Bombyx mori: one gene and its partners. The main gene of each other region encodes a partner of the protein of the gene in region 3 in a complex. Links are inferred from orthologs where the notes say so. Each region holds a gene or a part of one and is shown on either strand. Other genes may lie near its edges.

What was found.
Region 1: exportin-1 (region 3) and exportin-5 share a complex: the UniProt entries of both Homo sapiens proteins name them as parts of the nuclear export receptor complex. The link is inferred for Bombyx mori from reciprocal best matches to the Homo sapiens genes XPO1 and XPO5.
Region 2: the proteins of exportin-1 (region 3) and ran GTPase-activating protein 1 are in contact, whole or in part, in a cryo-EM structure (PDB 9B62), measured with the Homo sapiens proteins. The link is inferred for Bombyx mori from reciprocal best matches to the Homo sapiens genes XPO1 and RANGAP1. Residues at the interface, in NP_003391.1 of Homo sapiens: Lys245, Ser248, Thr249, Tyr252, Lys253, Glu281, Gln282, Val284, Thr285, Leu289, Met292, Gln293, Gln296, Arg340, Asn342, Leu343, Lys514, Val518, Ile521, Lys522, Leu525, Glu529, Arg532, Lys534, Lys537, Ala538, Ala541, Met545, Phe554, His558; in NP_001265580.1 of Homo sapiens: Ala2, Asp5, Ile6, Leu9, Ala10, Thr12, Leu13, Ala14, Thr16, Gln17, Val18, Ala19, Gln22, Leu23, Ser24, Phe25, Lys28, Glu44, Arg55, Ala561, Thr564, Lys565, Pro566, Ser568, Glu571, Ser572, Ser574, Phe575, Arg577, His578.

Annotation. Positions count from the first base shown.
Region 1 is NC_085119.1:13,766,547-13,770,170, forward strand, and holds part of exportin-5, read right to left. Parts: intron 2,680-3,624; coding exon 2,549-2,679; intron 1,777-2,548; coding exon 1,635-1,776; intron 415-1,634; coding exon 231-414; intron 1-230. UniProt on the Homo sapiens protein: Mediates the nuclear export of proteins bearing a double-stranded RNA binding domain (dsRBD) and double-stranded RNAs (cargos). XPO5 in the nucleus binds cooperatively to the RNA and to the GTPase Ran in its active GTP-bound form.
Region 2 is NC_085117.1:346,744-351,138, reverse strand, and holds the start of ran GTPase-activating protein 1, read left to right. Parts: upstream 1-1,523; 5' UTR 1,524-1,535; coding exon 1,536-1,776; intron 1,777-2,093; coding exon 2,094-2,281; intron 2,282-2,596; coding exon 2,597-2,731; intron 2,732-3,362; coding exon 3,363-3,515; intron 3,516-4,128; coding exon 4,129-4,298; intron 4,299-4,395. UniProt on the Homo sapiens protein: GTPase activator for RAN. Converts cytoplasmic GTP-bound RAN to GDP-bound RAN, which is essential for RAN-mediated nuclear import and export. Mediates dissociation of cargo from nuclear export complexes containing XPO1, RAN and RANBP2 after nuclear export.
Region 3 is NC_085118.1:10,175,561-10,179,848, reverse strand, and holds the start of exportin-1, read right to left. Parts: upstream 2,826-4,288; 5' UTR 2,666-2,825; intron 2,339-2,665; 5' UTR 2,243-2,338; coding exon 1-2,242. UniProt on the Homo sapiens protein: Mediates the nuclear export of cellular proteins (cargos) bearing a leucine-rich nuclear export signal (NES) and of RNAs.

The DNA of each region.
Region 1 (3,624 bases), on a different chromosome or scaffold from region 3:
CGGTTACATTATCTGTCTTTTAAAGAAAGATAAAATTATGTATTAATTTTGTTAATAGTAGGTAGTCAAAATATAGGTAAACTAAAAAAAAAAAAACTAAAACTATAAGTACGCTCTTTTGACAGTACTCATGAGAAAAATAATGGTGATACCAAATGATTCCGCATATTAACTCAATTTCGAATATTTTTGGAAATTGTACACTTTTAATGCGAAATGACGATATGTACCTGCTAGCTGGCTGTAGGCGCAGCTGAGGAACACGAAGAGCGCGGAGATGAGTGACAATAACAGTGACAGCAAGAGCGGGTCGGAGGGCTGTGTGAGCACGCAGCGCTGCAGCAGCGCCAGGCCGGCCGCGGCGCTGGGCCGGGGCTCCGTCTCCACCAGCCGCGACAGCACCACGTCCAGCGCCTTCGTACACACAACGGACATTTTCTTAATTTAAAATGTCGACGCTTGAAAGGCAAACGTGACTAAGCGATAATAACTGCTTTATACATAAATGATAGGCAATAACCAAAAAATATATTTTTAAGTCTATTAAAATCATTTCAATCCTACAGCTAGATTAAATTTTTTTCAGGTATTTCAACTTTAAATTAGTCTACTGTAAAGTTCACGCATTATCGCTTAGTCACGTTTGCCTTTCAAGCGTCGATATATTTTTTAATCTTTTAACATAACCCATTGATACAACTGGACAGAAAATGTGTAGCTACTTAATTAAAAAATAAATAAGAAAATTTTCAATAAATTATAAACTATTATTAAAATTTTGTTAGTCAATAGTTTTATCAAAAATAAAAAGTTTAGAAACCATCCAATATATCTCATTAATTGAAATCGGTGTACAAAGGTTTGTTGGTGGAGATTGAGATCTTCGAGCAGCGCAAATCCTTATTCAGAATTCTTGAACGTTGACGTCATAATACTAATAATAAATTTAGATGTAGTCTTCATTGCTGGGAAAAGGCTACGCTATCTACCGGTTTTGATTTAAATTGGTTGTCAAATAAAGACAAATATTACTAGGATTATTGTAAAATTGATTAAGAGAAGAAAAAAAATTGGTGCGAGTGCAACTTGGCGCACGTCACAGAAGTGAAATTTCTTTTGCATTGTGTGTTATTGTGGTTTTCTTCCTTTCATGAATTACTTTTTTTTTTTATTCAAATTTCTCTTGTAGTATTGAATGATGCGTTTAAGAGAAACGACCTAGCTCGCTTTAACCTTTCTTTCTCTCCGTACAGGCAGACGAGCAAAGGCCCACCTGATGGTGAGTGGTTACCGTCGCTCATGGACGTCAGATATGCCAGGGGCAGAGCCAAGCCGCTGCTTTCCGTAAAAGTACCGTATTTTTTATATTTTTTTTATTGCTCTGATGGATGGAAGAGCTCACAGCCCACCTGGTGTTAAGTGGTTACTGGAGCCCATAGACATCTTTTTTTAATTTTTTTTTATTGCCCTTGTATCTATGACGTAAATGCGCCACCCACCTTGAGATGTAAGTTCTAAGGTCTCAAGTATAGTTACAACGGCTGCCCCACCCTTCAAACCGAAACGCATTACTGCTTCACAGTAGAAATAGGCATAAAAAATATAAAATAGAAATGGGCCGTATAAAGAGATACCTGCGTGAGCGCCTCCCACTCGACGTAGAGCGGGTGCTGCGTGTGGAGCGCGCGCGGACACGACTCCAGCTTGTCCAGCGCCGACTGCGTCCACTGCTCCACGTACGACCACGTCACTAGTGGGGCCGCCATCATACAAAACCTGTACAATTTAAAATTCTACTTAATATCTATTACTACTACTACTACTACTAAGAATCATTAATTAAAGGTTTTTTATATGAAAAAAATAAATTATTATGTAACATTCTCCCTGGGTTAACTGTAATATGTAAACGTTACTTATTATTCTGGATATGTATATCAAATCGCAGAGTATGATAGAATTTACAAATCTGTATTTAAGTTCTTCATTTTTCCTACTTAAACTGGTAGTCTTGAGAGACGATGCCAGCGTAACCTAACGAGTAGGTGAGCTCACGGGGCTCTAACCTAGGGATGTTGCTAACACTAGCCCTAACAAGAGCAGTGTTTCGCAGAATCTACAACCGGATCGGAAACGCGACCCATTGAGAAGATCTGGCGAGAAACTTAGTGGGCTGTGTCTATGGGTTAGTTTAAGTTCAGTTCAGTGTTTGGTAATCTGCGAAACTAGCAATCTACTTCAAGTTACTACGGACAGCCTAATTTAAATCTTAAGCGCTGGTGTTAAGGAATATGTATCTGTTATGAGGCTACACACTGTCTTCACAACCCAAACATACGTTCGGGTCTGAAGGGCGAGGTATGACGTGACACTTCGACCTAGTTCTCCATGGAAGACTTCAGCAATTCCATACTGCAATGTCTATGTGCTGCGGTAAGTACCTATTATCTTGCAGCCACTAATATTCAATGTAGGTTGGAGATGGATATTAATGTCGAGAAAGTAATAAATAGTATCATCGTCTAGGAGTATCACTGTTTTGACTCACCTAAAACTATCTAATATTTCAGTTCGCAATTTATTAAAAAAAGTATTAAATTCTTGTTCGCTATCGTAGTCTATGCACGCGTACGCGACTGCGTCGTTTGTACCGTTCGGTCGGGACGTCGGGTAGTGGACCTGAAATAATATTTAAATACATAAATAGACAGTCAACTCAAGAAGTCGTCGTGGCCTAACGGATAAAGACGTCCGCTGCATTCGTGTTGAAGCGATGCACCGGTGTTCGAATCCCACAGGCGGGTACCAATTTTTCTAATTAAATACGTACGCAACAAATGTTCACGATTGACTTACACGGTGAAGGAATAACATCGTGTAATAAAAATCAAACCCGCAAAATTATAATTTGCGTAATTACTGGTGGTAGGACCTCTTGTGAGTCCGCGCGGGTGGGTGCCACCAGCCTGCCTTGTAGGAGCACGTGGAAGGAAAGAGAAGTCGAGGAAGATCGCCAACCAGGCGAACGGACATTGTCAAGGAGGCCACAAACACCAGCGTCCCAGGCGCCATTAAGCACGCCGAATGCAGGCAACATTGAAAGAAGCTGATGCAAAAACTAGACCAACGTGGTCACGACCTTCAGTAAAGAGAAAGCGACGAAGAAGACAGTCAAAAATCATTATGTACTCAGGTTAAGTTTGAAGAGCAGGGTCAACTTAGATCTTCAGGTTTCGATATCATATCTCAACGCCGCAGCAATTACGCAATAGCATCTATGGGGACGCGTAACCAGGCCGAACCGTGCCAAAAATTTTAACAAATTCATTTCTAAGGTTTGCCTACCTGAAGATGTTTTTTTTTATTTTTTATTGCATAGATGGATGGACGAGCTCACAGCTCTCCTGGCGTTAAGTGGTTACAAGAGCCCATAGACATTTACAACGTAAATGCTACCACCCACCTTGAGATATGAGTTCTAAGGTCTCAGTATAGTTACAACGGCTGCCACGTCCTTTAAACCGAAACGCATTACTGCTTCACGGCAGAAATAGGTAGAGTGGTGGTACCTATTCATGCGGAATCAGAAGACGTCCTACCACCAGTAATTACGCAAATAATAAT
Region 2 (4,395 bases), on a different chromosome or scaffold from region 3:
AAACATTATTTACTCTGCGTCATAATGCAATTAAATTATTAAAATCAACATATGTATTTATTTATATATTTATTAGAACATTAACAAAAAATATAGGTTAATAATTGTAATAATTTAATCTTGGGGTAAAATAGATATTCCTTCTATTAAGTCAAAACTAGAGCTGTTGCCAGGTCTTCGTTCAGTTGAAGCGAAGCTGGTATTTGTAATTTTTTTTTCGTTATCATAATCTTGACCATTATCATCATCACTGTTTTCATCACCCGAGTCGCCATCATCGTGATAAGTCGACATAGGGCTCATCGGTGTAGTTTACGACTCGGTCGGTTCGATCTTCTTTTTTGTCTATAATTAATTATTTTTTGAAGATATTCGATTCGTAGTAATCGAATGTTACTTTTTTCAGTTACCAGCTTCCGATTATTTTCTGTTTTTTTTTTCCATCTGAAGCCTAGCTCTTTCATAATTCGTCGTAAACTTCATACCGAGCCATTAAAATGTATATCTTCTTTAAAATTTTCGAAGCCTTTCTACGGTACGGAGTTTCGCTGCTTGTTATGTAGTTATTATGATTACATCTTTTTATTACAGATTGAACGAAACTATCCATTCCGGTAACTTTCTTCTTCCCTGATCTTTTCTTACCCGGAGTCCCAAGCACGATGAGCAAGCCAGAGCCTTTAGCTTCGTTAATAATGCACCTAACAGTACTCACTGATGTTTTTGTTGCTTCCGAAGTCTGTTTTACTTTTTCCATAATATCATTCTTCCCCTGTTTTATAATGAAGCAATATACGTCGTACACAATTTTTCTACCCTTTCTTTTGAATACTACACCAGTTTGTCGCGGCATAGTGTATTTTTTATAAAAAATCAACAAACACTCAACAAATAGCAATGGCAACAAAGTCAACAAGCAATTATAACAAAATATAACTTAACGATTAATAACGATATACTTTTCACTGTACGCAAGCGTACTTTTGGGAGCAAGCGGAACGAAGGCGCGGTGCGGGACGCAAGGTTCGACTGATCTACCAATAACGCGCTCGATACGATTTCCCCTGCCGTCGCGCCTCACCCTCACCACCAAAGTGATCTAAAATTCGGTTCTGCGCAGTCAAGGTCATTTGCTCACGATGTTTGCCGGTTACTATACCAAGAAGAAAAGAGATATATATATATTTTGGATATAAAGATAATTATCATCCTTTTATATATTTAACTCTTTATATTTTAATGAATTAATAATGAAAATTGCCGACAAGATGAGTTAAGTAATATTAATTCTGTAAAATATAAATAGCGGTCTGATTTCCTTTCATACTTAACAGGCTTAGGCCTGTCAACTTAGTTGCAAAAGTTTAAATACCTACATAATTTAATAAAAATTATATTTATATTAAATATTCGATCAAATCAAACAACCAAGCGATCAATCGAATAAGTCGAATTATTCGAATGAACGAAGTGATGGTTAGTTCATCGAGCTCATCACTGTTTCATTAAAATGTCAATGTCTATGTCTTTGTCAAATGAAATTGACATGTTCGGAAACCACAGACAATATCAAAATAATTGAAAAAAAATCCGTTGGAGTACATAATTGCGTTTTTGCGTTATATTTATTTTCTATTTATTATATTTATTACATAAACTGTAAAATGGCCACTTTCGATTTAAATTCATTAAACACAGTGCTTGATGAGCCCGCACAGCCGGAAACCGGTGTCGATTTTTCTGGAAAATCTCTAAAATTGGATACCGCGAAAGATGGTGGGTCTATTAACTAGAGCGAAGGCCGTGTAATTCTTAACACGCATAGCTAATCAAATATTACATAAAACATACTAGTTGTTTATTTGAAATTCACTAGACGCGCATGTAAAAAAATCGTCTACAACATAACCTAAAAAAGTGAAATAAAAATAAACAAAACAAAATTTGACGCGATCTCGTGTTTGTTCAATTTGCTTGGAAATAAAGTATATTTTCTATATTAATCAGATTTGGACTTGAAATCATAGCCATAGTACCAAATTTGATACTGAATGAATGAATGTGTTACCTACATCAAGCTTAAATTGTTTCAGCACAACAAATTGTAGACGCGATCAATAAATGCCCGAACCTCCAATATCTTGCGTTGACCGGCAATACACTGGGTGTGACGGCCGCCCATGCGATCTCCAAGGCCTTAGAATCACACCCTGAACTCAAGATAGCCAGATTCTCGGACATGTTTACTGGGAGAATGAAAACTGAGATCCCGCCAGCTTTGGTAAGGCTTTTTCCCAAAATCTAAAATGAAGAGGACTTTTTATTGCTTTTGTAGTCAGACGCTTATACAGCTTAGCTAATGATAAGGGCTATCTTTGATAATGAATATGAGTAATGTCACATGCACAGCCGAGCAGCTGACTAGAAACAATTGAATTTATTAAATGTCAAGAAATTTAATTTCAAATTAAAGTTTTTGTAGTCTAAAGGACATTTGTATAGAGCGAATCCTGAAGATAGGTATTCATTTACCACATTTAGGCTGGTGACAATATCTAGGGGGTATCACTTATTATTAAGATTATTTCATTTACAGAGTGCTTTAGGTGATGGCATGATAGCAGCTGGAGCTCGTTTAGCTGTGCTGGACCTGAGTGATAATGCATTCGGCCCAATAGGAGTTGAAGGTCTTGCTAAGCTGCTGCAAAGTGATGTCTGCTCTGACCTAGAGGTAATTTGTTTAATAGCTCTTGATAATGAATTTACAGTCATATGGTACAGGACCGTGTGGGAGGTCACCAATGCCATGGGCCGACCAAATTAAAACTTCATTGGGAAGAAGAAGAATGAATCTACAATTAATGCCAGACATATAACCCATTGAGTTTCTTGCCGGATCTTAGTGGATTAAAATCCTGAGCTGCTGATAGAGTCAACAAAGCAATGCTCTTGTTAGAGCAAATGTTAGCAAAGTCTCTCAAGCTGAGCTCCATTAGCTTGCCCGATCACAGTGAAACTTTATTACGCATTTAAGGCTTCTGGCGATTATGTAGGGACACAAAGAATCAAATCTTTATCACTGGATAGGTGGATGTACATATTCGGCATGCCTGGCATTAAGTGGTTATTGTTTGTGTAGACTGACTGATGCCATACTCAAGACATGTATATCTATGTAATATGATAAAAAAATTGCATCTTTCTCTACGTAAATCAATTTTTTGTCTTATCATCAAATTGTTCTCAAAAATCTTTATAATAAAATTCCCTTTTTTTGTTTCATTCCCACTGCTATAATTTCTAGCACTGATCAGATGTATTTATTAAAATCACTTTATAAAGCTTACAAAATACGTTTCCAGGAGCTTCGTCTGAACAACAACGGCCTTGGCATAACCGGTGGTAAGTTGTTGGCACGCGCACTCTCCAGTAGGAAGCGGAGACTACGGGTCTTCATAGCCGGGAGGAATCGTTTGGAGAATGACGGTGCCACCGCGCTGGCCAAAGTTTTTCAGGTGTGTTCATTTCTATCAAGCTATCTCGACCCCAGGCTCCAAGTCTAAAGTATTTCCATTACTGAATAAAGAATATGAACCTGAGAAAAAAAACGTCAGCCATAGAAACATTGATTGAAATGAAAAATATTATAACTTACTAGCTGACCCGGCAGACTTCGTAGTGCCTCAATCGATAAATAAAATACCTAAACTTTTCTATAAAATAAACTTAAAACAAACAAAAGAAATCTATCCGACGAGTGACACATCAAAGTAAAAACAAAATTGTAATTTTTATTTCATTCCGAGCATTTTCATATTTATCTACCTTTTAAACCTTCTCTGGACTTGCACAAATAATTCAAGACCAAAATTAGCCAAATCGGTCCAGCCGTTCTCGAGTTTTAGCGAGACTAACAAATAGCAATTCATTTTTATATAAATAGATAGATTAGTTTTCTTTTCAATGGGTCAGTACCAGACAAATACATAACAAAAAGCAGCTGATTTGCTAAAGCGGTTGATAATTTCCTTACAAAGGTGATAAAAATATACCTGATTAGATCTGGGCATCTCTCAGGTGTTCATTTGTTTATGCAATATAAATAAAATATTGTACACTTGTTCACAGGAAATGGGTTCCTTAGAAGAGATAGCTATGCCACAGAACGGTATATACCATGTCGGTATAACGGCTCTATCGGAAGCATTCAAACACAACCCGGCACTGAACCATCTTAATTTAAATGACAATACTATCGGGGCTAAAGGTGCTGAAGCCATTGCCGGTGCCCTGCCAAGGTAAAGTAAGCACTGAGTGAATTATCAACTTCTATGTCATTATTGTCTTATTATTTTATTTAGCGAACTAGCGGCCCGCTCCGGCTCCGCTCAGGTC
Region 3 (4,288 bases):
AAATAAGGTTCAAAGTTTCCTTTTTTATTATTCTCATATTCTTAATGAGAGGTTGTTTAGTAACTGCTACGCCATTTAAAGCTATGGCTTGACTTATATTTTCAGACATTACTTTGTAAACATTAAGCATGTCAAGGTATATCCTTCCTAATTGCACAACATATGGGTGTGCTAGTGCACGACATGCACGCACATTTGTTTTCAGTATACTTACAAGTTGTTTAACAGCTTCAGGGTCTTTCAAGATTTCAACATTACGAGAAGCTTGAGATATAATATCATCCCAAACTTGATTAGGCAGAAGCATGTATTTTTCAATTAAAAGTTCTTGGGCTACTTGATCTACTTGGGCACTGATCATGTATCCAACAGCTTCATAAAAAGTGTGAACTTGCAATGTTTGTAAATCACAAATTATAGTACTAATGGTGCCCAATATTTCTTCAATAAAAGGACAGGCTTCTCCAACTTGAGTAGTGACAAAATGTCGACGGCATTTTATAGCAATTTTTATGAATGTATCACACGCCATGTCTTGGACACCATCATGTGTTTCATGCATGAATTCAAAAAGTTTATTGACAACGGTTTTTAAAAATTTCCAATGTGCACGAAGAAAGCGTGGGTATTGTCCTACGACATACATTATGTTACTAGCAATTATAGCTTTGTTATCTTTTCCCTTTTTCTGTTCACAGAGACCTAGAAGCTCTTTAATCACAATAACCAAAAATCTCTTTTCATCATCCTCAGATAGAGCTCCAGAAATAGATCCAATTGCCCAACATAATGTGTTCAAGTTCTTCCATGACCACTCAGTACCATTTACTTGATTTTGTAATTTCTCTGTCATAATACGTTCAGTATCTAAATAGTCTAAATGTGTCAAGTAAACTAATGTTTCTCTCATATTTTTATACAAATTAATGGAGTCTGTGTCCTTCATAAATTCTCTCACAACTTCACCATTTTCATTTTCAACAACTAACACCTCTTCTGGTTTTGCCATTCTCGAGATCATAATATACCGAACACTGCTCAAGACATCAGCATACAAAGCTTTTCGGCCTCCACTTTTACCCAAATGGTACAAGTTTGACGAACATGGCGCAATTTTGTACAAATCAGCAGCAAGAGCATTCCAATATTCAAGACAAATTTTGAAAATTTCTACATCTTCTACCTCTGATATTAAGACAAGATACCTCAAACCATTCATTAAAGTGTTTGTTAATCCACTCTTTTCTATGAGCGGACCATGCTCTTTTAGATATGTGCATAAGAAAAGTGCAAGATTTTGAATAAAAACTTGTTCCTGATCTCGACCAGCTACATATGCTTCACGTATGTTTGTAGTTAGAGGAAGCATAACTTCAAGTTGTTCCATAGTTTGTACAAACAAATAAACAAACTGCTGATCATAATTGCTGACTGTGACACCGGCAATTTCAGTAAGACAGCTCAATGTTACATTCCTAAACATCGGCACGTTCAGAAACTTAAATATCAATGTGCTTATCAATTTCATTTCGAAAATATAACCAAGTGGAATCCAATTTAAAAATCTCAAAAGAGTGTCTAAGGTCACTCCAACTAAAGGTGCATTTTGTGAATTTTCCAAGACAAATTGGCATAGCTGAAAGATTTGACTGAATTCTGAACACATTGTATCTTTTAGATGCTTAGCTTTTGTTTGTGTGAGCTGGCCTGTACTAAACATAAATACTTCTTCACTCAACAACTTGAATATTTCCATATTGTTTTGACAGAGACTTTCATTCGTCTTTGAGGCACCCACAATGTCACTGATAAAAGTTTCCCAATTATGGGGCCATTCTCTTTTCAGAACTTGAATAAGGATCATGTTTAGTTTTTTCAAATAAACTTTGTTGCTTTCCATCGTAACAGGATCTGATGAATTTTTAATGATAAGGCCAACTATATATTTTTTTATACCCTCACACTGATTTCTTGGTAATATTTTCCATCTCGTTAGTATTACTTGTTCTAATATTTGTAATGCATAATATTTAGTTTCTTGATTTTGAGAATATTCAAGTATTGTATCAACACGAGTCCAAGCATCAGGATGTTCCTTCAAAGCAGTCAGTATATCCTGAGCAACACGTTGTTGATCCCCAACAGCAGAATATAAACAGCCAACAATGTTGTCCAATAAATTGATGTCCAATTTTTGATTGAAATCCAAAAGTTTAGATGCCTGTTGTTCTAAGGTTGCCATTCTGGTAAAATATATTTATTTAGTTAATTTGTTCCCTTTTTTCCAAAATCAAAATTATTTTGATTAATCCACATTCATTCCTCACCTTATACAACACTGAAAATGAAACAAAACTCTGTGTTAACAGACTCTACTGACTCTAACCTCCATATCCTAATTGTTTGTTTGTTTAACAAACACCGACTTAACAATTATGCTAGTAAAAACTACTTTTAATACTATAATTCGGTTAAGCATTTAACTACAAACTGGGCAATTACATCATTAATTGTTTAAAACCACTAAATAGAGCACACACCCCGCAATCTTGTTGCAGATTTTACTACAAGTACATTCATTACACTAATCACAAAACGTGTACTAAGTGTAGGGATACTCGTTAGAATTGTAATTTTTCAATAACTTAAAAAGTGAATCACTTACCCGAGAAAATAATTTGCGGCGCAATCAATCTAACGCACTACCATACATACTAATCCGTTGTTTTCATGAAGCTTGAAAAAGCTTACACATTTAGTCTATGGTCATAGAAAATACTAGTGCGGAACTCCTGTTGAACGTTGCATTGCATTGACTACAGTTTACTCAATGTGATTTCTTTTAAAATTTAGTGGAGAAATCTTCTGCAAATTTAAAATTAAAAGCTAATTAATAAGAAAAACTTATTCACTTCATTCTATTGCTAATTTGGGTTCAAAAACAGAAATATGGACTTTTTAAGTTAAGTGAAGTTAAGTTGTAAGTCAAGTTAAGTCAGTGTAGCTTCCCATCTCATTTGTTCAAGTCCGTTAAGTTTCAGCAAATTTACACCAACCAACACCAACTACAATTACATTTAACCACAAGTTATTGAGATATTACTTCTTTTTATCTCACTTGCTAGGCTGTATGCTAATATTTTTTATATAATTTTTATGTTGCCATTGTAAGTTGTGAAAAATAAACTATTTTTTTTAGTTTTTGGTATCTATGGTATTTTTTATCTATGGTATTTTGTGATTAAAGGCTTATTACACTTGGCTGAATTTAGTCGACTGACTTCAGAAGCAAATTTAGAAGCTTCTGATTAAACTGTTTTAAATTCAGTTACTGAATCAATTGTCAGTTTAAGCGCGACGAAGTAAGACGTGTCGTGTGCGTAAGAGGATGGCCCCAGTATTGTCTAGACAACAACAAATTTTTTGTTTTTATTTTTTATTTCAATTTCTCAAAAAAAAAACAAGAATATCGGTAAAGAAATATTTATTGCTGTGCGGAATGTTAGCAAATATGAACATTAGAGTGATTTAGAACCAGCAGACTTCAGAAATTATCTATAAATGGATTCGATCTCGTTTGACCTAATATTAAAACTTGTGACACCGTTTATTCAAAAGCAGGATATTATCCTACGATAGTCTATTATATATCTATTTTATAACTATTACATATCTAATCCTACGATATTATAAGTCCAAAAGAAAGATTGGTTGTAACATGAAGATTTCTTGCAACAGGAAATACGTATCAAGATTTAAAATTTAGTTTTTCAATATCCCAACCCTTTATGACAAAAACTATTCCTGAAACATGTCGGGCTATTTATAAATGTCTGGCACATTAAATAAAGGCGACCGAAATCAATACTTTTTATTCGGAAGCAAAAAACAAACTAAAACGTTCTTACGCACGGAGAGCTATGGGACGACTGAAACCATTAAGTAACTAAATGCGATTACACCTTCCTAGATGCATTTCTAATTAGGCTTCTAAATGATTTAGTCAGTCAGAAACCATCCTTGCTACTGAATTCAGTAGCGACTGAATTATTTTTGTAATTTTTAAGTACCCAACCTTTACATGACCGTTCGAAAGATTAATTTATAATAAAACTCATAGAAGATAGTAAATACCATCACTCAACTTGCTAGGGCCAGTGTTGGCAACACTACCGGTTTGAGCCTCGTGAGCTAAACTACAAGGAGAAGCTGAAATAGCCTCTCAAGGATATCAGCATAGGTAGAAAACAAAAACACGCAAGCTAATTTGAAAATCAAACTGTTATAT